Styela clava: one gene and its partners. The protein of the gene in region 1 purifies or fractionates together with the protein of each later gene. This does not show direct contact. Links are inferred from orthologs where the notes say so. Each region holds a gene or a part of one and is shown in the gene's direction. Other genes may lie near its edges.

The links.
Region 2: the proteins of E3 ubiquitin-protein ligase CHIP-like (region 1) and proteasome subunit alpha type-3-like purify together in Homo sapiens (affinity purification with western blotting; 3 studies listed by BioGRID, with this or other methods). This does not show direct contact. The link is inferred for Styela clava from reciprocal best matches to the Homo sapiens genes STUB1 and PSMA3.
Region 3: the proteins of E3 ubiquitin-protein ligase CHIP-like (region 1) and protein arginine N-methyltransferase 5-like purify together in Homo sapiens (affinity purification with western blotting; 3 studies listed by BioGRID and IntAct, with this or other methods). This does not show direct contact. The link is inferred for Styela clava from reciprocal best matches to the Homo sapiens genes STUB1 and PRMT5.
Region 4: the proteins of E3 ubiquitin-protein ligase CHIP-like (region 1) and dnaJ homolog subfamily C member 13-like purify together in Homo sapiens (affinity purification with mass spectrometry; 3 studies listed by BioGRID and IntAct, with this or other methods). This does not show direct contact. The link is inferred for Styela clava from reciprocal best matches to the Homo sapiens genes STUB1 and DNAJC13.

What each region holds. Positions count from the first base shown.
Region 1 is NC_135250.1:2,576,084-2,583,274, forward strand, and holds the start of E3 ubiquitin-protein ligase CHIP-like, read left to right. Parts: upstream 1-4,181; 5' UTR 4,182-4,187; coding exon 4,188-5,012; 3' UTR 5,013-7,191. Other genes in the region: ectopic P granules protein 5 homolog, read left to right, coding at 1-1,007. UniProt on the Homo sapiens protein: E3 ubiquitin-protein ligase which targets misfolded chaperone substrates towards proteasomal degradation.
Region 2 is NC_135256.1:8,850,425-8,855,847, reverse strand, and holds proteasome subunit alpha type-3-like, read left to right. Parts: upstream 1-3,908; 5' UTR 3,909-3,955; coding exon 3,956-4,711; 3' UTR 4,712-4,915; downstream 4,916-5,423. UniProt on the Homo sapiens protein: Component of the 20S core proteasome complex involved in the proteolytic degradation of most intracellular proteins. This complex plays numerous essential roles within the cell by associating with different regulatory particles.
Region 3 is NC_135260.1:10,097,568-10,104,867, reverse strand, and holds protein arginine N-methyltransferase 5-like, read left to right. Parts: upstream 1-4,315; 5' UTR 4,316-4,391; coding exon 4,392-6,434; 3' UTR 6,435-6,800; downstream 6,801-7,300. UniProt on the Homo sapiens protein: Arginine methyltransferase that can both catalyze the formation of omega-N monomethylarginine (MMA) and symmetrical dimethylarginine (sDMA), with a preference for the formation of MMA.
Region 4 is NC_135261.1:3,151,808-3,159,587, forward strand, and holds the start of dnaJ homolog subfamily C member 13-like, read left to right. Parts: upstream 1-4,780; 5' UTR 4,781-4,851; coding exon 4,852-4,922; intron 4,923-6,975; coding exon 6,976-7,051; intron 7,052-7,780. Other genes in the region: solute carrier family 22 member 15-like, read left to right, coding at 1-1,174.

The sequences.
Region 1 (7,191 bases):
CAAGATCACAGATTTTAAGTTTCCTTAATGAAGTTGTTTTATCGACGCTTGATTTGTCAATGGACACACAATCTCTACAAACTGTCGACTTGGTTTTGACAAGCATTCTATCTTCGGCAGCAAACACAATTTCAAGTCCTCTGCATTTAGCTGTAGTGGCTGAATACGGGCTTGATTCATGTTTGAAATTGATTTCTAAGTATCACCCAGAAGTGAACGACGAAGTGGATAAAACCACATCCGACGATAGGCTCCCAAAAGTTTTGAACTTGTGGCAGAATCTTTGCCACACCCTAAGTCAAGTTTGTAAAGTCTCCCAGAGTGAGCTTATAGAAGCATGTCTATCAAATGGGTGCATTAATACTATACTTGCATTATCGCAAAATATAGTCGATGAAGCGAAACGTTGCGGCAATGGAAATGACTCTAATGGCCCAATGTATAGTGCTTTTTTCTCTATTGTACAATGGATCTCGTCTTTGATTCCGAAAAGCGATAATGAAGCCAAATTGTTGCTTTTAATTGGATATGCATTGAAAGTTTGTGATACGTTGGAACAGGACGCTAAACTCTCCCCAGAATCTGAAGTTAATCTTAGCTCAGTTTCCGAGAGTTTTCATTCACTTCTTCCCGTGTTAGAGCACTGGAGTACTGACCGTGTTAAGACAGGCATACTCGGAACTTTTGGAATCGGACGTGCTACTTCATTATCAATTGGATTTCGAGTCTCTATTCGTTGCATCTCAGTTCATATTCAACAGATAACAGCACGACTACGGCCCGAAGGAGAGGATACTCTTACCAAAGCTCAAGTAGCCATTGATAGTCTACGGAAAATGCCTCTTGAAAATCGGACGTACACTCAAGAAATTGACAGAATCCATGAACTATTAGACCTAATACAACAGATTAGTGATAAGCCTACATGTGCTGCCCATTTGTCTTTGATGAAAAATATTTTTGCTTTCCATTATCAAAAGGAGGCTGATTGGTTGAATGTTCTATAATTGTAATTTCAAAAATGTTTTTTCATATCCAAAAATGTTGGTATTCATGTATCCTTTTCACAAAGTTAGTTACCGGTATATCTTAGCTGGGGAGCCTGGGAAAATTTATGCCCAACAAGATCTCGACCTATTAGGTTCCTATCAGAAATTTAGACTTTATACACTGCCATTGGGAGTTTAAAGCTAGGAGTCCACACAGTATTCAAAAATGGAACTGCTGAATTAATTTTATTACCAATAAAAAACACTCAGACTCTGCAGACTCGTTTCTAGAATTCTAAATAACTTGTTCATCAACCTTCAGTTTTTTAGGCCTGAACCGTAGCCAGGCGAGGTTTTATTTCAAAGTTCTTTCATAATATCATTATAATTAAACTACCTATTCTGTTTGTATTATCGTAACCACAAATCACAGCCAACTTTTGGGGCCAATTTGGGGTGTAAGGTTGATTATTTCTCCTTGTTTATTTTGCAATATTTGTCTGTAAATTTGTCATTATACTATGCTCTAATTATATGTGTATTTTAAATTTTGAGATCCTATTTCTGTCAGCATAGTTCCAAAAGAATCCCTATTGAACTGTACTGGTACTACAATAATTTGATCTACAGTATATTGTAATTCATTTGTGTATGTCCTTAAAACTTTTAATTTTCATTTGCAGATGGGGATTCCCAAATTTATTATTAGGTCATGGAGCTCATGTCTTAATATTTTCAACTCTTCGATAGAAATTTTGATGGCTAATAGAATAAAATGCCATAGTAGTTAATCATATTACGAGCCTTTTACCAGTATGGAAACACCAACAATCTTTAGTTTCAGATGCATGAACTTGGCTATCTGTACCTTGCCTGGTACGGTCTGAGAAAGTACCTGAGTAGGGTGTGGAAATAGTCGACCAGTTAGTTTGAGCTTCCGGCCCAGTAACCAAGTATATTACCAGTAACTGGCCCACTAGGAAAATTAATTGCCCACTCCTGAGTTAATTGGTTCAGCTGCATGGACTTGAGATTCCTTGGTACAATTTGCACAGTTCAAGCAAGTACCTAAAATAAGCTGATGCCAAAATTACCAAAAATACTGTATTGTTTACCGTATTTCAAACTTCATTAGTTGATCTCCTAACCGAATCTTCTTAATAGATTTCACATTAATAAATCCTATTTTTGCTGAATTTGACATCCAAAATGTCTTTTTGAAATCCGATTTTAAAAAGTGTTCATTGTAGCTTTTCGTACTTCTTTTTATTATTACTTTTGTCAATAAGTATTCTACTTTTTGTTGCTGATGTATTATTCTCAGAGTATTGATGGATGGTGGAGTGAATTTTTGACCAATTCCGATTTTATTATTTGTTATATATGAGCCATGAATGTCCATAGAACTAAGGGATGCTTTGATAAGGATCTTTGCCCCAAAACCCAAGCGCTTTGTAAACACAATTCAAACATGCTGTCAATTTCCTTTTCAACCCAAATTTTGTATTGCACAAAGGAATCCAATTTTTTGAAAATGAACCAACCTTTATATGGTAACTACTTGCAGGGGCCTATCCAAAAATTGAAAATTTGATAAGGGGGGGGGGGTTCTAAAATTTCTAATTGCTAAGTTAGAGCCATAACAGCTAGCAAGTCTGGCCTGAAAACGTAGTTTTTTAGGGGTTTTGAGGGTCTAAAAAGCGTTTCAAGCTACGAAAAATTAATGTGGGAGGGGTTGGTCCCGATCTTTGACCCCTCCCTGGCTCCTAGCGTATCTGTGAATGCTTGCTCATTTCTTTATTCAGGGTGAAGACGTTGTACAGTTGAGCCTAACTGTAGTTGTGAATTAATGAGTTCAGTGAATTGTACCTGCCCTCCAAAAATTTACTACCACCGATTTCCCTATTAGTGTTAACAGATATCTTTCATCACAGGAATCGATATTTTTATTATAAATCCTTCTGTTATTATCCATCTCATTGTGTTTAGTTATTTGGGTACTTTTTTACATTTCAAAAAGAGGGGCGCCCTGGGTCATTTTCCACATCAGGTGATATCACATTGCTTATTATTTTGTATTGTTACATAGAAATGGTCTGTTCTTATTATTTGTTTATTTTATTGACAATCTGCATGCATGCTGTTCATTTTATTGCTTAAATATTCTGTATGATTTTGGTGATGATCACAGCATTTAGGGGACATGATAGGTGCTTGTTCGTCTTTTAAAATACTGGTATACTATTATCTTTTGACTTTCTCTTTTTATTTGTGCTCAATGTTAAATTTATTATCAGCTCAAAAGTGAATTCTCTCAGCAGTAACAAACCAGTTATATAAAAGTAATGCTCTACCGGCTTGCATCTCTTAATGTCGAAAATTTGAAATTCATTGGTTCATAAGTTGCTGAAAAAAACATTTTAATTTAGCTAAACAATTCATATTAGTGTTATGGTCCCTGTGTCATGGTCTTACTCTTGCAAAATTTATCATTTCTTGTTCGTAACTTCGCTTAAAAATTGATCTTCTTCATTTTTGAGAGAGTATGGTATGTGCTTCTCATTTCCTCAACCATTATTATTTTTGCATAATGTTGATAGCAAATAATAAATAGTCCAAATATTGCCAGTATTAATGAATAAATGGCTTCTTAACTATATGCTATAGTCTAACTTAGGGTGTGAAACCTTTAGTGCATGAGGGCCAGATGCAAATAACTGGATGAAACTGCGGGCAGCACATTAATTTAACATAGGCTTTCTAGTAGTTGCATACGCATAAATTTTGATTATTGATTTTGTGACATGTGCTGTCCACTTAGGCTAGCTGTTAAGGCATTGCAACCCCATGGGCAGATTGAGCTAAATTAAACACTCGTTTCGTGGGCCGCACAATTTTTCATTGAGGGCCGCCGCTTGCACACCCCTCGTCTCTAACTGGCTTAATTAGCTGCATTAAAACATGTTTTCTTTTTTTTTGTCACCTGTTATTTTGGTAATGAAGACCGTGCTTATTGGGTATTTATGATTTTTTGGAAGCAAATATTATATTTTTGTTTGTGCTTTTTATCTATGCTTGTTTCAACACTGCAATATTGAAATTGTAAAATGAATATTATTAATTTTATTGTAAAGTTATATATTATTTATGTTGTTTTATTAATGTGATCTTGTCTTTTTAATTTAGAAAATAATCAAAATGACTGCCATGCAGTATAAGTTAGAAGGTAATCGTATGTTTGCACAAAAAAAATATGAAGAAGCGATAAAATGCTACACGAAGGCAATAAATAAGACTTCTAATAATGCTGTTTTCTTCACAAATCGGGCTCTGTGCAACATAAAGCTACAAAAATGGGAAGCCGTCGTTGACGACTGCAAAACTGCCCTTGATTATGACCCCCAATCCGTCAAGGGTCACTTCTTTCTTGGACATGCTACTGCAGAGCTTGAAAATTTTGATGAATCTATCTCAGAGTTACAGAAAGCACATACACTCGCAAAACAACAAAAATTAAATTTTGGTGATGATATTGCAGCGATGCTACGAAACGCGAAGAAAAAACGCTGGGATAAATTAGAAAAGGAACGTATTTCACAGGAAATTGAACTACAAACTTATCTCACTAATTTAATGGTTGAAGACGAAAAACGTGAGATAACCAAATTGGACGAAAACGACTCCACAAGCGATACAGACCGAAAAAATGTAGAAAAAAAATTCGAGGAACGTCGAACTGAACTAAATAACTTATTTGCACAAGTAGATGATCGTAGGAAAACACGTGAAGTTCCAGATTTCCTATGCGGAAAAATTAGTTTCGAAATTATGAAGGATCCTGTTATTACGCCGAGTGGAATAACTTACGATCGCAAAGATCTCGAAGAACATCTGCAAAGGGTCGGACATTTTGATCCCGTTACCAGACAAAAACTAACTGCTAGTGAATTGATTCCTAATCTGGCTATACACGAAGTGATCGAGAAATTTATTGGAGAGAATGGTTGGGCTGAAGATTACTAAGATGTGATTTTAATTTAAACGCTTTCTTGTGAAATCATATAAGAGGGTTGGAACTTTTTCTCTAAACCAGGGGTGTGTGGCCCGCGGCCCACAAGGAGAAATTATACGGCCCGCTGAGAAGTGCCAATTTTGAATGATGTTCGGCCCGCAGAACAAGTTTTTTAATTAAGTTTAAAATGGTACGCTCAAGTTATTTCTATCCATTTGCGTTGCAAAGCCTGGACCCAAATCCTATACCTGAGCTTGTGCAATGCGAGCAACGCATGTCATAAGATTGATAACCAAAATTTTTGGGCCCTCAAATACTAGAAAGCCTATGTTAAATAAAGATGCGACTCATGGTTTCACCAGTTATTTGTATCTGGCCCTTCTGTTTCAAAGGTTGCCTACATCTGCTCTAAACAAAGCCCTGGACAAGCAGGTTACTGATACGTAAGGGTATGCTATGATTTTGAAAAGACAGATTTGACAATGTCGGCGTGATGCGGTGGACAGGGGGTTTTAAACCTGGTATCTTCAATCTTTGACTGGTCCAATGTGCCTACCATTGCATTGCTTGACCATGCAGCTCGAACACGAATCTGATGTGCCAACCATCATATGCGAGATGGGCATTTTTTTAGGGATTTCCAGAAAGTCTTCCTAGCCTGTTTGCTGAGCACTTCGTTGTTGTGGTTGGGTTTAGAGAACCTCTTTATGATAGCCTAACTTCACCTTTCATCCAAAAGAGTGTATTATGATGTCACTTTCACTTCTTTTGCTCCTCTCTTTATCAAAACTCTAAATAGGCTTGTGATCTTAGCACTTCAATACTTAAATTTTTTTCAAGTGTATTTTTGTACATATAGATTTTTTTACACAGTATTCTTTCTTTTTGTGTGAAACATTCATTTTTTTGTTTGGGTGACATAATTTTGTTCTTTTATCTTCATCTAGGACGGGTTCCCTAGTTTTTGTCAGGACGGCCCCAAAAACAACTTTCAAGTGTCCAGTGCGACCCCAGGTCAATATATATAAACTTCTTTCACTGGACTTTTGAGTTTGGTCATGTGATGGTATTAAGTAAAAAAATAAGGTAAAACCAAACAGTGATGTCACAATAAGCACTTTATATTTTCTATAGCACAAGCAGAGAGCCATGCTTATGGGCCTGTTTACAGTAAGCCATGGTACAAACTGCTAAATTTAACATGGTTTGTCAAATCTTAGTCGACTGTACATCCATCCTCTACCATACCTAAGCGACTCCATGACCTGTTTGCGACCTTGCCTACTTATCACTCCGACCCACTTTGGGGTCGTGACCCCTGGTTTGGGAATCCCTGATCTAGGACCTAAGTTTTTTCATTTCTCGCCCCTTTGCCTCCGAGTATGGGCGAATTACCTACCGGTTGCTTGGAGCAAATAGAAAAAATGTAACATGAAGTTAAGAAGTTGCTTGGTGTTGCTTTCTGGAGAATCATTTTTATGTAACAGTATATCATTTTTATAAATTTGTTGTGGGCTTCGTAAATAATAGTCAATTTCTTCACAAACTCCATAACATAAAAGGTTGGAGAACCCCCGCTCTAGATCAATGCTTCATCCATCCTGTATTTCAATAAACGGAGCACTGGTTGCTCGTGACATATTTTTTTTATTTCAAACTCTCTTTTTTTTGCCACACGGTTCACTATATTTATATCATTTTTTATTGCCTTGTATTTGTTAAGCTGTTTTATTATTTTGGTAGTTGCTAAAAAGCAGTGGTTCCCAAACCTTGGCCTGCCAGCAGTTTGACATGGCCCACCGAATGTAAGTAAAATAGTTCACTACACTATGTTTTTTTCTTTTTGCGCTTCAGATACCGCCCCTTGCGGGCGCTCACCTGGCCCACGAATATCCTTCCGCTTCTGATTTTGGCCTCCTGTCAATCAACTTTGGAAATCACTGCTATAAAGGGACATAAGCCCAGTTTATGAGATAAGTGGACCAGAGGGTAAGCCACCAAGTCTCAGGTGGGACCTGCTCCTCATAACACGTATGGAACCTAGAATCTACAAACCAAATTAACACCATAAATACCACTGGAATGATGAACAGGGGGACCATGAGTGCTGAAAGCCATAAAAAGGTTGGGAAACACTGCTCTACAGTAATTGCCTTCCAAATTCGTAGTAGCCTGCAACATTACCTTTAG
Region 2 (5,423 bases), on another chromosome or scaffold:
CATAAGTCCCGCTTTTTAGCGTCTTGTCCCACCGTCCCGACAAGTCAGCCAAATTTTTGTTATTTTGTTTGTTTCGTTGTTTCCCGCTAACATTGTCAGCGAACGTATCACATGTAAAATCAATTTTAGACCGAGACAGACATTTAGACAGCGAATATTTGCACATGAACTCTCGATGACAATATTGTCAATGAAGACAGCTGGGATGGCTTCAAATGTAGGCCAATGTAGTAAAATCAGGAACAGTAAAGTTACAGCTACATGATTACAGCTAAGTGGTCGTGGCTTTGGAGGCGTCCCGCTTTGAAGTCAAAAAAATTTGGTAACCCTGAGTATAGCTATGGATGTTTCCTCGAGCATCGATTTACTTGTTTATTTTCTTAACAGCGACCAATCGGCAATTACGTAACAATTGCAATTAGCGCGGTCGCTCAGACAGATATTCAAGTTTTCAGTTGTGTTTCCACATATAGTTCGTCATGTCTTTCGAGAACCTTTAGTTTAGTTGCATTAATCTTGAATTTATATCACAGACGCTGTGACAGACTAGCTCAAAATTAGCTCTTGATTTAATGTATTGAATAAAATGATGATTTTGTACATGTGAGGCAGTTGGTAAGCGCCATCTCTCTCATAATAAGCGTTGAAATATTGGTTTCTCCGAGCATCGACACACTTTGATACTTTCGTAGCATTGGCTAGCATCAGTATGTCAATGGTGGCGTTAACAATTTACCAAGAGAGTGATACCTGGTGAACGTTGAATCCAAATAATGATTTGGCATGTTTATGGAGCAGTCTATCAATTTATTTGTATAGGTTTTTCAGTTCACACTGCTGTTAACAACAGCCCAAGTGTCACCAACCTCTGAACGTATCGTTTGCCATATTCAAGTGTCTTCTTTCGATTGTTCGAATAAAGTGTATTTTCTTTAAGGTGATGAAATAAATACTGATTATAACACGAGGGAGCATCCATTAATGGAGATTCTTGAGAAAACATTTTTCGGCATGAATTAATTTCCTTCCATTAAAAATTTCGTAATCGATTGGTGAAATGTCATAGACCAGAAAATAAAGATTGATGCCGTTAAAGATTGATTTTGTCGCCAGAAGGCTATTACTTTTACTTTTTTCAAAAAAATTTGTGGACTTGTGACGTGTCCATATATTTGAGCTTAGCTCTCTTGTTTTACATGGGCAATAGCAAAATTACGCAGACGAGTTCTCAGTACGGGTTGTTATAAAATGACTATGTCCCTACTAAAATGGCTACGTCCCTACAAAAATAGGACATAGCCATTTTATAACTAAAGCTGAATTTGAGTTCTGCAATTTTTATAACAAAATTTACACAGTTCTTGGCACATTTATTACCAATTTTCGATTCAACGCTTTGTTTTATTCACTTACCCAAGAAGACTTTTCAATCAGCGTAATAGGGCATATTATATGCAAGTCTTTGGGAGATATCTCTTATTTTACCCCCAAATTGTAAACTCAGTTACAGTGGCATATAACCCTTTTTACGTGCAATTCCCATCAATAGATTTATTTAGATTGAACTGCAGATATGCAGTAAAATGTTAGATGTAGACTACATCATGTAGTCAACACGCAGATACGCCACAATTTACTTGTGTTTTTGGTATGACATTGCTAATTAGTAATTACCTTGTGTGAACTTAATGTTCAGTTGTGCCACATTTACAGTTAATATAACCTGCTAGCCATGAGTTCGATTGAAACAGGATACGATCTGAGTGCCGATTAATTCTCTCCGAAAGATAAACATATTTAAAGAACAATTAAATTAATAACATAGCATTGCATTTGATTGGCAGTACATGTCTTGCTGCCCTAAATATGAAACTTGCCGCCAAATGTGGTAGTCCAATATTTCATTTCAATTGCGACTTGTGCTGTATAAACAATTGGATTAATACTGTACGAATTGGGTGGTAATACCTCACTCTCAGACGATTGCGCGATCGTTTAGTTATCTTACAGTACAATAATAATTCAATTTATTGTTAAGTAATATTCAGTGTAATAAGTACAGATATGTTGGGAACATTGTATAAGCAAATATATTGAACCTCAACAAAAAAAAATGAGATATCACTTTATTTGGACAAAGATCTAGCGATTATTGGATGAACGGCTTCCATTGAGCCATGAATGCACGTATTATTCAATTTGGCCCTGCGAGCAACAAACTGTTGCCGACCCTTCCAGCGTACGTGGAAAGAGCTAAAAAACGTGTCTGAATGTTTTGGCTTTTAGCGATGCCGTGAACTCATATTGTGCTTCCGTGTATTGTTGGTGTTTTATAAAATTTCGTTCGTGATTGTAACTTCATTTTTCACATTCAACCAGTTTTTAAACAATTTTCTATTATCTGCCGTGAAATTCATGGCGACGTATTCAGAATTTGATTCTGAAAAATATTTTACATTTGGGGTTGATTGTGAACTACCATTCTTACGATCAGCAAAAGGTTAACTTTTCTTTCTGATCTCTGTCTTCTTGATTTTTCTTTGAAATACCAAAAATAAATGAACTGCAGCTCACAAATTTGCAGTAAATAGAGACATACAATACGTAAAAGAAAGTGAACGGCATATAAAGGTAAAATATTTTTATTGATATATACTCAGCATTTAAGAAACAATGAAACATTTAAAATAAATACCATATGTAGATATTCAATCATATTTTAGTTATGTTTTACACTCACGGCACATCATTTGGGAACCGCTGGCCTAAACAAAACGTTTTGTAAACATAATTATTAAATAGTGTCAGCAGTAGAATAAGTCGTTAAACTTTAGCATCTCGTAACTATTGAATTTGTCTTAGACATGGGTCGCCTCTGTTTTGGAGCAAGCACACTTATAATCCGAATCTGAAACCATAAGCGTATCGTGACGTAGACAGAAAAAAAATGACTCGGCAGTTTGTTAATTTTCGTACCTTGCTTATGGAATTACTTTACTGCAACTAGATCAGGCAGACGTTTGTGAGCAATTACTTTTATGAGAAAGCCAGTTACAGATAATAACCACAAAAATAATTTAAAAAAATAAAATAAACTTGGTTACCGGTACCGTACGTACCGGTACCGATACTGGGTCGGAGGCTTAAAACTTTAATAAAAAAAAGGTTATTTACAACAGCTTGGCTACCGGTAACATTTATATAATAAAAAGCTCAATATAGATAACGTACGGTAACAATGAATTGGTGCTCTGACATATAGGTAAAAATGGACAGAGACTTGGATGCTTGTTTCATTGGTAATATTTCATGTATTTATAGTCTAGTTAGGTTCGCGGACAATTATATGTTTGAATTGTTTCAACGCACATTGAAAAAGTCTGCTAGGCCTATGCTGATTATGAAATGGAGACGAGTTAATATAGGTACCGGTACTACAGAACTAGGCAGTGGTTTTTACTATGTTCCAGCAGTAACTTTGAGTCCCCCATGCTGCAAAGTGTAGCAGTAGGCTTACTTACTAGGTTACGGTACCTCATAGGCTATCATGCTTTAAGATGAGCCACTTGACTGCTCCATTTTAAACATATTACTCCTTTTTAACAGACATTTATTATTACTCATTTTTCAATGAACCCTTTGTTCCATTCACTTCCTCAAGAAGACTTTTCAACCAGATAGGGCATTTATCGTGCAAGTCCTTGGGAGATATCTATTATTTTACACCAAAATTGTAAATTCAGTGAAATATGACCCTTTTTACCCAAATTCCCATCGAGAGATTTATCTAGATTGAAACAATGGCCTGCAGACATGCAGTAAAATATTAGATATAGACTACATCATGTAGTCAATAAGCCACAATTTACCTGTGTTTTTGGTACGACATTGCTAATTAGTAATTGCCCTGTGTAATTTATTTGTGCCACATTTCAGTTAATATACCTTGCTAGCTATGAGTTCGATTGGAACGGGATACGATCTGAGTGCTGATCAATTCTCTCCAGATGGCAGGATTTTTCAAGTTGAATATGCACAGAAGGCTGTGGAAAACAGCAGCACTGCAATAGCCATCAAGTGTAAAGATGGCGTGGTTATGGCAGTTGAAAAACTAATTATATCTAAATTGCACGAAGACGATTCAAACCTAAGAATCTTCAACATCGATAAGCACGTGGGAATGGCGATTGCTGGTCTACTTGCAGATGCAAGACAAATAGTAGAAATTGCTAGAGATGAAGCGGCTTACTATCGTTCAGAGTTTGGTGGCCCAATCCCTCTCAAATACCTTACTCGCAGAGTCGCAATGTACATGCATCTTTACACATTATATGGAGCTTATCGACCATTTGGAGCAAGTGTTCTAATGTCATCATTCAATGAGGACGAACCAGAACTACATATGATAGATCCTTCTGGTGTGTCTTGGGGTTACAATGGCTGTGCTATTGGAAAAGCAAAACAAGCAGCGAAAACAGAGATAGAGAAAATTGATTTTAAAAATATAACCTGCAAGGAGGCGTTGAAAGAGGCAGCAAAAATTATATATATTGTCCATGATGAAGTGAAAGATAAAGATTTCGATCTTCAACTGAGCTGGGTTGGTATGGACACAGAGAAAAAACATTCTATGGTACCCTCCGGGTTAAAAAAAGATGCTGAAGATTTCGCTAAACAGTCAATGGAAGACAGCGATTCTGACGAAGATTGAATGTATTTAATTTAATAGCAAACGTTGACAGTGATACACTGGCTAATGTAACAAACAGGAACCACTGTTCCTGCTTATATACCAATGGCCTATACCAGATATGCTGTTTTGAGATAAAATTCAGACAGCAACATTGTTCAATGTGTTAAAACTCTTGGGTTAACGTTTTTCATCATTCGTCTGATTAAAATAATTTTTCCTGAAGTTGTGCTCAATCTTTTTTTTCTGCCATGCCGCTTTATTCTTTTGAGATTGTTTGGTCGGTAGTCCATACCTGGAAAAAGAAATAAAAACTCAGTCAGAAATACACAATGCCATTTAACTTATGAAACTATCGCAACTTGATTCATTTTAAATTTGTTATTTTGTGTCTGTTAAGTGACAAATTTCAGTTCTTGTTATTTGCGATTCAGACCATAGCAGGAAAAACAATAATTTTCCAAATCTCTGAAAACCCTAATAATCTTATGCCTCCATGCGAAGTTGCCGCTTGGAACTGCAGAAATAGTGATTATATCAATAATTATCTGGAATTTGAGATTCAAAATATGACAATGCTGGTCTGCACATCACTATCATAATACCTGGAGTAGTACGATTCAAAGCTGTTTTGTTTAGTCATTGAGCTGTACAGCCTAATAGTTTCATCAACGCAGAGGTTGGTTCTTGGAGCAAATCAAATCTCAAATCAGTCAATCACTAGCTTTTGATA
Region 3 (7,300 bases), on another chromosome or scaffold:
GAATAGATGGATTTTTTTTTTCGAATCAATTTTTTAGTGATGCTTAATGGTTCGAGTTTGATTAATAAAATTATCATGCTTTCAGAGAGTAAATTCTGAACTGAATAAACTATTTTTCGTACTTTAGTGACAAGTTTTTTTCTATGTATACTGTTATGTAATTGTAATAATTCCATGTAGTTTTAGGCTATTTTTATACTGTCAGGACCAGTGAAGCATATATACCTTGTAAAAGGAAGTGCCAGTTCAAGACATTTATGCTGTCAACACTTTAGGTGAAATATGTCTGATTTTAAACAGATTTCCAACTTTTTTCGTTCGGAGAAATATTGCAAAACATGATTAAGGTGAAAACAAAATCGTTCCTCGTCTTACTATGTGAATATGTCTATCCAAACCTTTCTTTCATACCTTTAATTTCTTCAATATGTTATTCTAGTTTATTTTATTGTTTTAGATTACAAGGTACTAATAATTTTTTTTTTATTTTCCATTTGGTTTTATTGTTTTCTTCACCATGTTCTTAATTTGCTATATTGGGATAATATTAATGAAATAAAGTTTGTTTCTGCAATAAATTTCCTTAGATTTGCTATAATGTATCACAAATGGACAGTTATTGCATGTAATATTATGGATATAGAATACACTTTTTTGGGGATTTATCGGACAAACGTTTATTGCACTTTGTAAGGCTGAAAATCTAATTGTGATTATAGTTTAAGTTTGTCTGGTTTTTTTTATTTAATCAAGATTACTTTATCCTATCATCTATATTTATGTAGGATTGACAATTTATTTTATATCATCGAAGCACTTTCGTTGTACAAACTCTGTCAAATTTTTGATTTATGTCTTACAATTAATGTACTGTACATGTATATAGTATACACAGAAAGTCAACTTTATTATTTTGCACAAGTTTTTCTTTGATGTCTTAATTCATCAACTGTGTCTGCCCAACTTTCAAAGATTTAGGTTTTGCCAATTCCAATGCAACTGTGTATGTTCTAAATTCAAGATGAAATTCATAATTTTCGTTTGAAGCAATGCATATTACATCGCAAGGTCTCATCTCTACTGCTTCTGTCTTTTCTGAGCTGCATATATAGACGGGGTAGCGCAATATAGTTTGCTTATTTATTTTTTTCTTGCAGTGCAATGCTTATATTTCTTTCAATCTAAAACTGCATTCCGGAGAAGTGTTTCCACTTCGCACAGGTCAGCTTATCTATATTCGATGAACAAACTTCTCTCGACTGATCTAAAACAGACCTTATTATCACTCATTGTCAAGTATCGTCTGGTTTCAAGTTTATACCCAGTAGTGCTAATTATGAGAATTTGTGTGGATTGTTGGCATTTTACTGGCTTGGTAGTTAGCCCTAGAATCATTGTTACATTAGTTGCATTGTGCATATTATTCATCATATGTAGTTATTAGGTCTGGTTCATTTTTATGTGACCAGTAAATGTAATTTAGTTATTGTAATTTATCTGTGGAACTTTGGTAGTTTGAAACAAGTAATAAAACTTGAGAGTCTATACATTAATTTGTATTTTATCAACTTAATTGAGCTTTACTTATTAAAGTTTAAGGTATCAGTATCTTTGATACGGCAGTATTATTTTGACACAGTCTGTAAACTACACAGTCTGGTTTTTGAGAAATTTGCGTTAGTTTTCATAGTTCACAGAAACTTAAATGAAAAAATATGGGAGTAAAATGCCTCGTGCTTAATGTGTGCGGATTCAAATCTTGAGTGGGGGAGGATTGCTGAGACCCCTGTTGTCGTGGAGTGTTTCATGTGGCCTATGTTTGGGACGTCAGTTACGGATTGCCTACAACCGCAGTGGTTCTCAAACTTCTTTGTGTTGTGACGCCTTCCGAAAAATATGCTCGAGTTGCGGCTCCCCGTGAAAACGTCTTAATACAATTAAAGACCTTTTTGTAATGAGCTTTATTTAAACAAGCAAACAAAATTTACCGAAAGTCGGTGAAATTGCATTTAATGTGATGGGTGTTCTTGCTTCCTTTCACAATTGTCATTGAGTCTTGGGGTGAATACGCATTTTCCTTTCAACGTTTTCTCGAGAACGATATTTTGCCTTTATTACAGCCATGGTAGCAAAGCCTGCTTCACATGAATATGAAGTCGCGGGGGATGAGAGTGCGCAATGCCTTTTTTTTATCCGCAAGGAAGGATAATCTTTATCCGGGGAAATCCAAAAACTCATAACATTTTCGTGATTAAAATTTCTTTTTATATCGATTCCGTTCACAAAATGGCGAACAAAAGCCGTAATATGTTGTTGTAGCAAGATTTCAGCCAGTGAAACCGGTTACCTAATAAGCCTGAACGGCATGTAGTAAGTACATCGCATCCCCAGTTGCAACAAAAACCACAGCGCTTTTTTACTCGAAACTTGAACGATCCAAAGTCCAAGTAGCTTTCATCATACTTCTTGTTCGGTATCATTTTTACGCTCGTACATTTCTACAGCGATATTTAGACGTTTTCAAACTTTTTTACGCACCGCAAAACAGGTACGATTCCGCAAAAGAAAAAAGTTTTGGGACGCCCTAGCAAAATTGAAACGACGCACTATGAGAACCACGGCCCGACGGGATCGCTGAATAAAATCAACTGCAATTTCCTCAAAAATGAGAATATAAACGCATGAAGAACTAACATTTACACATACCGTAGTCGTAGACTATTACGTGGAATAGTTTATTTCGATTCCATGATCAGCACAATAGACAATAAAATTGTTGATAAAAACTAAGTAAATAAAACTGATTACAGAATCAGGAGAGCAAAAAAAACTTAAGTAAGGTTTAAAATAGGATCCTTCAGGATGTAAATCCTAAGGTTTAAAATAAAAATTGAAACATAAAAGATATTACCTAATAAAAAGAATAATATACAAACAAATTAAAAAAAAATAATTTGCCACACCATGTTAATAATTTTGTAAGAATTGGAAAATAATAAGGAAAATAAGACATTATGTGTTAAGATTTAGCTATTCCATTCAAACTTGAATTTACTTATATTACGGTGGTAATCACCACATAAAGGCATATACGTAAATTTCATATATGCAGGTGTACTTAAATCGAATTACGTTCGGACTCTAGATTTCCACTCCATACACCACCGCACTAGTAGCATGTGGATTGTGCACTTTGCTGGTGCATGCGGGGATATTTTCTTTGATAGCAGGTGGGGTGGAGTTTATGTTTGTATTTACTTCATGTTGATTTGCTAACTGGAAGCATGTAATAGTCTCGATCTGTGTGAGGGTTTAATCTTGGCAACTTGCTTGTAAATTATTGTTCAAAACCTTTTGACTATGGTACTGTAGTATAATTCCAAACATCCATAAGGATTAGTTCCCGCCCTGCTCGATCCGCATTCTTTTCTTTTTTTTTATTAGACAAACAATGTAATACGCATTTATGGATGCTATGGTAGTATGATTCCACGTTAGTTTATAATTAATGAACTCCTGACTTCAAATTTCTACTGATATATTAAATATGAGAATTAGAAACAAGTTAGCTACCGTAGCCTACATGTGTGTCTGTGTGTGGAAAGTGTGCGAATTATTTTGGCATAAATGTCATCGTAGCCTTCCTTCAGACTTCATTTTAAACAGAATACAGGAATAAGAAAACATTATAACAATTTATCTTATGACACACACATAGTCTATTCTGCTATTGTTCTTGCTGCCTTTTCTGGTCTTTCGATTCAATCAGTATTTAAATATCTGAAATTTCACATGATTCGACTTTACTTTTATACCATCCAGTCATCATTAGGGCACAGTTCTTCGATTCCAAGATGTCCCAACATTTGGTTCAATATAACAAGCACTCCCTTTTGGCTCTAAAACAGTTACATCACGCCAAGATTCTCTCGGTAATAATTTAAATCAATCATGACTTGGACGTCTGGTGACCAAAATTATGTTTTTCAGCTAAAAACTCAAATGCTTCGGTAAAATTTTTTTCAATCAGCGAATTAGATTATTTTTTCAAAGTGTATAATTGTTGCGGATAATTGTTTATATGTCAGTATCATGCCTCAAATTGAAACGGTACAAAAAAATATTTTAATAATTTTGATCGTATCTACTCTGGAGTCCTCCTTAACCTTATGTAAATCATCCTTTTATGCCGTTGAAAACTGAACAAAACATACTGGTAGTCATGTTTCATCATTTTTAATCCTGTGTGACCATATATGTGTTTGGTAGTCGTTGGCATTAAAGAAAAAACAAGTTTTTAGAGATTTGGTAAAAGTGTGCTTTACTATTTAAATTTTAGGACCAAAATCAATAATATAACTACTTAAAATTATAGCTTACTATAACCTAAGATGGCCTCAAGAAACCGTGTATCTTGCGGACTAGATATTGAATTTACTGAAGATCTTGAAGAATCTATTGAGAATTCTAGTAGAAATGGCTATGACTTTATATGTGCGAATGTTGTCAGACAAGGCTGCACACCATTTGAAACAGCGAATCTATGTAATAAACTTGGTGGTGTTACAGACACATCATTTTTATTCAATTCACAAGAATGGGCTTCCCTTGTCGTTGGCAAACTTTCTTATTTTCCTGATTTGACATCTGTTGTAACAGAGAAGCGTATTTGTGCGGAAGAAGCTGTGAAACAAGAGCTTCATTTTGTTGCTTTTTTGAGCTTACCTGCGATTATTGTTGAAATCAAGAGCAAAAATTGTTCAAATATTGCCAGAATGATAAACACCTTTTTATATGAAGGTCATCATAATGTCCACATATGGGTTAAAGTCCCTTTACACTCCAGAAATTGTGAGGAGGATACATGGCACTGGTGGAATAAATTTCGAACCTTATGCAGCCATCACAGTAGAATCGGATTAGCATTGGAATTAACTGCAGACTTACCGAGTCAGTTGGAAAGATGGCAAGGTGAACCTATTCGTGTGGTTTATATTCCAACTTCTGTTTTTCTGATGAATCAAAAAGGATTTCCTGTTTTGTCCCGTGCTCATCAGCAATTTGTTAAAAATCTCATGAAGTTGAATTGTCAAATTGTATTGTCTGGTCCTAACTTGAATAATGCAGAAGGAATCCTAGTGTATCATCAATACTTGGATCATTTATTCCAAGGTGCTCAAAATCTAGGAGAATATGAAAAATTTTCAAAAGGTTATGAAGATCATTTGCAAGCACCACTCCAGCCTCTCATGGATAATTTGGAATCGTCAACCTATGAAATCTTTGAAAGAGATCCTATCAAATATAAAAAGTATGAGGAAGCAGTTTATCGTTGCTTGCTTGACCAAATTCCTGATTCCGCAAAAGAACAGCAAACAGCTGTTATCATGGTGCTTGGTGCGGGTCGCGGCCCTCTCGTTAGAATGTCACTCAGAGGTGCTAAAAGAGCTCAAAGAAAAGTTCGTCTTTATGCAGTAGAAAAAAACAGAAATGCTGCTGTACTTTTGCAACATCTGTGCACGACAGAGTGGAAAGACTATGATGTCACTGTAGTTTCATCTGATATGAGGTTTTGGAAGGCTCCTGAGCTAGCTGATATTGTTGTTTCAGAGTTGCTAGGATCATTGGGTGACAATGAATTGTCACCGGAGTGCTTAGACGGGGCAAATCGCTTCCTAAAACCAGATGCAGTCAGTATCCCGCAGTCATACACATCTTACATATCTCCTATCTCATCTCATAAACTTTACAATGAGATAAAAGGTGTGATGGGTCTGGATAAAAATAAGACACCCGAAGCTGCTTTTGAAACTTTGTATGTGGTTCGTATTCATAATTATCATGAACTTACTGAACCAGTTCCGTTGTTCACATTCAATCATCCAAACTGGGATTTGGATAGTCAAAATCCTAAACCAGAGTTCCATGCCGACGTTTCCGCAGAAGTTTGGGACAAGAAGTTCAGCAAAAAAGATGTAAAGGATAAAGAGGACATGGAAACGAATGGGAAAACTGAAGTTAATCAGATTCAAGATAGTCAACACAATCACATTGATCCAACTAAAGCTAACAATCAAATCAAATCAACTCCGACAATGCCAACAAATAGTCACAACACAAGATATCAACAATTTTCTTGCACAATTCCTTTTGACACTATGCTGCATGGATTTGGTGGTTATTTCAGATGCGCATTGTACAAAGATGTTGAAATCAGTATCGAACCGAAAACACATTCACCGGGAATGTTCAGTTGGTTTCCAATTTTCGTTCCCTTGATGAATCCAATCCCTCTTACCGAAGGTTGTACATTACAGACTGATTTTTGGCGTTGTTCCAATGGAAAAAAGGTTTGGTATGAATGGTGTGTCACTTCTCCACAAGCAAGTCAAATACACAACCCAAATGGTAGATCTTATACCATCGGGCTATGATGTAAAATTTTCTAAAAATTCATTTCTTGAAAATGACTGTGATGCTGAAGCATGCTTATTATTATCCAATGACTGAATGATTAATTCTAAACATGTAAAAGTTATGTTTTCATGCCTGTTTAAAATGGGTCTCTCTATACTATTATTATTTTGGATTATATAATTACATGGTCTCCATATAAACATTCAATCATTGCTGTTTTAATTTATGTTCCCAAATCCATAATTTATGTTCCCAAATCCAATCACTTGCCATATACAAGGATGCATGGACCATCGATATTTTATGAAATGCATTATGATTAAAGTGGAAAGCATGTTCCTCATTTATGTTCACTTGTTTGATATTAGAAAATTCATTTCTAACATATGGTTAAATTTGTCTCAAGTGTGTGGGGAAACTGTACAAAGAGTATCTTCCTACCATGTTAATCCATCTTTAGGTGTTGTGAGTTTTAAGATAAATATTTGAAGGCAGTGTCAAATTTAATGACATTAGATTCTCAGCTTCATTGAATTTTTACACTCAAAATTTTTAGGATGTTGCTCAGCAAGGACATGACATAAGATTTCGTGACCTAATGGAGATGGGCAGTACAGTACAGGACCTAAGCACTTTAGACTTTGGTGTCCTAATTGTAAAAAATAATGATAAACTTGTGTTTCATATTATCTGAAATTGAATGATTTTCAGTACAAAGGATGTTTTCACAGAATCAATTTCTTTGTTTATTTCCTTAACAATGACAAATCAGCAACGAGTTAACAATGACGAAACTATTGTAATTTATTCAATCGCTCAGACAGATATGCAGGCATTGTTGTAAACATTTTTTCGTTCCCGTTGTTTTGCGAGATTCTAAGAA
Region 4 (7,780 bases), on another chromosome or scaffold:
TGGACAGTTATCTGACAAGTATGGCAGACGAAGCATTGGTTGGAAGGTTTACACTATTTTAATGATTGCTGCACTCTTAATAGGATTCACTCAGAATTGGCAACAAATGGCAGCGTGTAGAACTCTAAGCGGTCTTGGTATCGGTGGACTAAGTGTTGTAAATACGATTATGCTTCAAGAAATGTCTGCGTCAAAAATGTGGGTTACGAATGGTATTATAGGTCACATATCTTTCACTTCGTTTATGTGTGTGTTTTTGATAATTACCTATTATATACCTACATGGAGGACTCTATGTGTTGTGGCCGCATTGCCTGGATTACTAGGATATTTATTTTATATTTTTACACCTGAGTCCCCAAGATGGTTGCTCTCTCTAGGACGGGTGGATGAAGCCGAAGCAGTAATTCAAAAATTTTCGAAGCGAAATGGAAATCAACATTCGTATTACAAATTAGTAACTGGGGATGGAGACATAGATGAGCCGTACTCTGATTCCCAACATCGTTCCTTGACTCCATTAGAAGTGAAAAATTCGATATTAGACTTGGTGAAACAACCTGTATTGCGTTACCGAACTGCAATACTAAGTTTTGTGTGGTTCACGACAAGTTTTGTGTTTTATTGTATCACACTTGGAGCAGGATCATTCAGTCCAAACTTTTATCTTGCGTTTGGTATGTCTGCTATTAGTCAGCTTCCATCTGTTCCAATTTGTCTATACTTTATGGAGCGGAAATGGTGTGGTAGACGCGGAACTTTATGCTTATTAATGTCCATGACTTCACTTAGTATGTTTATCATGTATATAGTTCCAAACACGGATGCAAACTCACACTTTCGTTTGATTTTATCAATGGTTGCGAAAGTTGGTTCTTCAGGATGTTTTACATTAATATACGTTTATACACCAGAACTTTTTCCTACTGTTGTTCGAAATGTCGGACTTGGTAGCATGTCTACAGTAGCCAGAATCGGGAGTATGACGGCCCCTTTCCTTGCCACATATACAGTGAATTCAAATTCCGCAACACCGTTTCTATGTTATGGAATTTTATGTGGAATTTCTGCAGTTTTAGCTCTACTTCTTCCAGAAACTTGTGGAAAGAAAATTGTTAACACAGTTGATGAGGCTTACACACATGAAGAAGAAGATGGAGAAATTACAAGTTAATTTAATGATGCTGTGGGATAAGTGAAGCGTGACTCGACAGAATAATCATATCATGAAAATAGTTTTGACGATCCCGTATCAGGTTACACTTCATTGCCTTTTTTTCGTTAATATCAGACTGAATATTATCAAAGAAGCATCTGCTAGCTAAACATTTTCAATGGACATCTTCCTACCTCAATTTTAGCTAAATTCACCTAGTAAAAAAAGGTAGTACTTTTCTTAAAAAATTAATTTTTTGCCTTATTATAGTTGAAAAGTTGTTTTTGTGTTTTCTTTATTATTTTATCTGTGTCTGATATTATGTACCGATACACATTTATTATCTTAGCAATATTTAAGAAGGAAGTATTGAATATAGAAGTTTTCGTATTTTATATGTTGCTTTTTGCAATCTCGTGAGCTCGTTCGACCAATTATTGCCTTTTTTATGAAATTTCAGAGCTGATTCATAAAAGGTTTTCCGAAGTGAGCCAAGATCTCTAAGAATTGAGCTGGAATTTAGACTTAGGTCTTGGAATCAAAATCCTACCTACTTGCAAGTTGTCCATGAGGCATTTTTGCACTGGACAAGGCCGTGTACAATCGGATTGATATCCACTGATACATAAGTAGTCGCTAATTTTATAATAAAGGGAATTATTTAGGTTTATTACTGTATATTCTCTCATATAATCTGACCCTACAAATAGTAACATGCCGTACGCACCTATCACGGTAAATGGTTGCGGAAGAGGTTTTGTGTGATCAGAGTTGGGCCAAATTTTTAGTGGAATAAGAGTTCTGGCAAAAGGCTTCAACTGAAATTTTCAATGAAAATTTTGTTACCACTTACCATAATGATGAATATAGTAATAAAATTAAATTTTCTGAATATTCTAGGAAACAAAGCTTCATTAAACTTTATTTTTGAAGTGGCGACACAAAATTTGTATTTTCAGTGCAATACTATAGCCTACTGCCAAAAGTGATGAACAATCTTTCGAAATGTAAAACGTTATTTCTTAACTTCGTTATTTTTAAGAATACACATCTTTTGATTACAATCTCTATTACTTTTTCAAATCATTTGATTTAAATTTCCAATTTCACTTAAATTTTTGACATATGTTTATTTTATATTCATATTATTGCTATAAGTTTTTGTGTGTGTACTTGCTGGGTATAACAACTGTGACACTAAGTCCTAGTACGAATAATTCGTAGTGAATATATTTCAACAAATTATATGTTAGAATTTTCTAAAACTTTTTTATGTAGAACTGCTTCAAGTAAATTCATGACCCAAAACCTGAAAGCAGATGGAAGATTATATGCAACATCTGATGCACTAATATTTTAGAATTCAATTATTCCTTGGCTACTCTATCTAAGAACTGGAGTCTTATCTATCTGGTCCACTACATATTATCTATTGAGGGATTTCCTTTTACATTGAAATTGCAGAGGTGGAATTCCCCTAATGTAAGATGTCTGTTCTCTCATGCTTGAATTTTGTCTGATGCTCTAGTTATATTTCTGACATATTGGTATTTGTTTCATAGCATAATATTTTATTATTCAAGTTTCTATTAGTTTAGCTCTGGGCATGTTTAGAGGAATAAGATTAATGGGATTTGTGTTATAAGTTATTGCTATGTATTTTGCACCTTTTTTGTTCTATTCTGAGAGTGAGATCATCTTAGAAAAAAATATTTTATGAATATTATTGACCTTTAATTATATAGCCTATTATATATTATTATATTCTGTGTTGTCCATGTTCTATCTTTCAAACTTGCCTTAATCAAGTGTTGCACAGTCATAAACAACTAAATTGACCAATTTATGACATTAGTAGGAGTTTTGAATAAGTTGACCATTTAAATATTCTGTTGTTTAAATGTAATACAGATTTCATTCTTGACTAAAGTATATACCCAAGTTACAGAGATTTATGCTGTTTTTATATTTATCAAAGTGATTTTTTTTAAAGTTTATTGATTTTAAATAGAAGTTTTGATCCTGTTAATTAATGAGCTAAATTTTCTGTAGTTTGGGATATTGGTTTCTTTTTTGAAATAAAAAGCACATACTTTCCCGTTATAATTAATATTTGATTAAATGCCTTATTATTATTCCACTCATTTTTAAGTCACATGAGTAGAAGTTAATAAGGAAATCTTCCTGTAGTTGAAGCTAAAAGTTTTCTTTTTGCGTAAAGCATACACCCAGGTTATTAGGATATTTCTTGTTTCATATTATATGGCATGGAAAATCACTTGAAATGAATTCTTTTATGGAGTATTTTATCCAGTTTTCTGGACTCGGCTGTTGTTTTCAAGTACCGGTACAACATTGTCATTATTGTGACATTTTTATTTTAGTTCATGCTCAGTGCTTTTATTTCTGAAATGTGTCTGTAGAAGCATTCGAAGCGCTAGCAATATTTATGTTCTTTGCTTCTTGCCATTAGTGTCTATGCTTACAAATGTTATAGTAAATACATTTATAAGTACAATTTGGTTTATAGTTTATTTTCCATTTCAAGTACTCAAATTTTGATTCATTCTATCAAGTGTTGAAATTTGTAAGATATAACCCCTATTACAGCTTCAACACATATTTTGCTTATGGGTTATGGCATATATTATATGAACATTTTTCAATTGCATATTGCACTTTTGGTTATCTTACTGTGCTTTCTACCATCATTTCAAATTTGCTTTTGATATTTGTTAAAATTTTAGAGACCAAATTCTGTTTAGTCATTGAAATTTTCACAAATCGTTGAATTTGATCAGGCAGCAGTATTGTATATTTTTTTCTACATTGTTTTTTTTCTTCACATATATGGCATAACTATCTCTCTTTTCTCTCTCCCTTTAGTTAGTGAATAAAGGTATTGTAGCAAGAATCAAGTTGGTTATATTTAGTGGTACAAATAGATGAATAACACTTTCACAAATTTTATTATGTAACTTAGACTTTGCAGTTTTTGAAAAAGTAAGACATTTGGACATTTTTGAATTTTCACTTAAGTCTGTTCAGAAGGAACTCCTTTAATTTAACAGTACTGAACTAATATGGACGGCCACTTACACCAACCTATGCTTTACTATATTATACTTAAACAATTGTGCCTTTTTAATACAAGTTAGTATAGTACTTATTCAATATACGTTGTTACAGCTGTGTTTAATTTTAAAATGTCATACTTTAATTATTGTGTGGTGTATTATCATAATATTACATAAATATTGTATTTTCCAGCTAGTAAGCCAATTTTTTGGCCTGATTTTCTGGGGTCAAGACTTATTGGGCGTTTCCCCTTTTTTTGTTTTTTCCAGTGGTCATCTTATTAATATTGGACTAAAAATATCAGAAAAGGAGGTCAATAATGTGCTTTCACCGCAAATTTTTCTGGGTTGGCATTTCAGCCGGAAAATACTGTATTCCCTATTATACTATAGAGATAACACAATTTACCTTGTCAGTCCTACATTTAATATTACACAGATTGTCTTTAAAAAAACACGCTCTTTTTAATATATGGTGTATTGCATTATTTTTTAGATTTCTAGGGATTTATATATTATAGGGTAAAATGCTATATCCTTGACTATTTGGGTGGTACATTATCAACACACCAAGTGATTTTTTCAAGATAGGATTGGACTATCTGTTATTGGTTAAAAATGTCGCAATTAATTCCTGACAACATTGACATTGCGTGCTACTACACTACGAAACACTCATGGAGAGGAAAGTAAGAAATATAATAATTTTTTTTAAATTCAACTTTTAGTTGTAGTTATGCAAGACTCGCTACTATCTTTTCTTCCTATACGCCATTGCTCTGTTGGAGTGGTTTCCAAGGTTGATTGACTGGGGACCAAATTTAGAAGCGGAAGGATATTCGCAGGCCAGGAGAGTGAAGGGCCCAATGCCGTTACCGGTACATATACAGCAATTGAAATACTGATATAGTTGAATTGTTCCGAATATGCACATGCTTAAACTGTGATGAAGACATAACAATTGGAGTACTAAACTATTTCACACACTTGAGATCGGTGGGCCATATTAAATTACGGCCCATGGTCCGCAACTTGGGAACCACTGCTCTATTGGATCCATATGCATAAAATGCATTTGTTGTATCATGAACAAAAATAACTATCCTATGTGATTCAAGAGTCTTGCTTCACACTTGACACAATTGTATTTCTGTGCCATTTTGATAAAAAAAATATAGTAAAATATAGCGTGACACTACAGGACGGCAAATCCACCATGCACTAACAGTACGTTGTGTTGTGCTGTAAATTTTTGCGATGGTACAGTAGGAGCCCATAATATTTTCTGGTGCAGTAGCTGAACTACCCCCCTATGTGTTGCTCAATTCACCTAATGTAACACTGTAAATCCAGGCCAATAATGTGCATATTGTATGTGACACTACAGGACATTTTTCCACTTCGGAATAGCGGCCTCTATCATCTCTTAAAATTCTGGTAATAAATCGTTAAATGGGTGAAGAAATGTCCTACAACCCTGCAAACATTCAAACTTTATTAACTTAAATCCAGTGCGTCAATTCCATATGAAATAACTGTACCACACAATCAAACACTTTGTGTCAGGAATCATCACAAAATATGCCAATTATACCAAAATTGCTACATTTCAGGCCAATTTTTATAAACCATTAAAAACCTGGGTGAAATTTTAAATTGTTCGATTAAATCAATGTAGTCCAATAAAATTCCAATGTCTTTTGGTATCGAAAATAAAAAAAAATTACTTTCACTACACTTTTTAAAAAATTGATGGAATTCAACTTTTGCTTGGAATGGCCCAAATGATCTTTTTATAAATGACTGTTCTATATGATTATTGTATAGGCTACCCAATTAATTTTTTTTTCATCTCTTTGCTATTAGTTGGCAAAGTCTGATTTTTGTCAGACAAAATGTTACATAATAAGAATTGTGAAGCGTAATGTTAGACTTCTGAATGAATCCACCCCCAATTTCAGTTTTAATTTTCAAACAGGATTTTTGGTCAGGCATAATGTTAAATAATATGATTATTTAATGTGTGATGTTAGACTTTTGAACCACTCCATAAACCCCTGTTTTTAGTTTTAAATTTGATTTTTAAATATTTTCTCTGTGCAAGAATATGACTACACAAGCTTACACAAGCATCAATTTGAATGACTCAGTTCTGAATCAGAGTTTTGTCGTTAGTATCGTATTTCCCACTGACCTGTATATGATACTCTGCGGAATACCGGCAATTATGTTGCTGAACAATTGATATCAGAATTCAGAACACTAATATCAGAATGCACTAATGTACTTTCTGTTAATGGTGCTCCAGGAGTGTGTGTACCGATATGGAGATAACTAATTTTGTTGGCCTACTTCACATCGAGTTGTGGGAAGGGTCTGGTACACACACTACCGTAGTACCCTGTTAATTAATGTTGGTTTATATTTCATCAAATTTATTTTTCTATATATCCCCAAATTGAGATACCAAGATATTACCACTTTATAAATATACTGGTTTGAGAGCATATTATGGCGCGGGAAACAGTGACAATAAGCGTTCAGTATTGTTCTGCAATATTTTTTTTATTCTCGTAAAACTTATTTGCAGCTGCACTGCTTAAGCCATTATGTTACACTGCACAGGGATGAACATGGTAGCTGTCTCTGGTATGATTGCCAATATGTATCGGATTCAATTGAATTAGGGCCCATTTTCATGAACTAGTAACAGTTTCATTTTCTAACTTTTACTATTTTCAGATACAAGCGAGTGTTCTCTGTTGGAACGAAAGGAATCACAACTTATAATCCATCAACATTAGAAGTAACAAATCAAGTAAGAAATTCATGTTAGGTTCATAGACCATTTTTATTAAATTGAGCTTATTTGGGACTTCTGTAAGTTAAATATATTTACCGTATATCCTCGCATATAAGCCGACCCCCTAAAAATGGCCCCAAACTGGTGAATTTATAAAAATTCGCATATAAGTCAATCCTACAAATCACATGCTTTGTTCGTGAGAGCATGGTTTGAATTGTAGCTAATGGAATTTGAAGTAAGCATAATGTCATTTAATTTGAGCGCGATCAGAGTTATGTGTGTATAATCCGATCCCTTAGTTTGGCAACTTTATTACCGTACTTATCGATTTTAAGATCGGTAAGTATGTTGATAAGTATTTGTCTGTCTGTTTGCTTGTTTGTATGTTAGATGAACACGATATCTAACGAAGGCGAGGTTGAACCTGCTCCAAATTTGCATGTACATTCTTCATATCTCGGACCAGAAGACTATTTATTTTGGATTAATTATGTCGTATAATTAGCGAGTTATTAATTAATTAGTGATGGGACATGCGGTGTCACTATAGAGTCATAAATTGAAACACCAGTTTCGATCGATAAGTCTTCGGTCTTTGATCGATATTCTCGTTTTTAGGTTGTAAACTCGGCTCGGTAGTAATAAGCATTTTAGGCTTACACTTCACGATGTCTGTGTTCCATGCCATTATGATCAAGTTCTGTGTTTGAGTTCCGAACAAGTTATGTTAGCTAAAGTGCT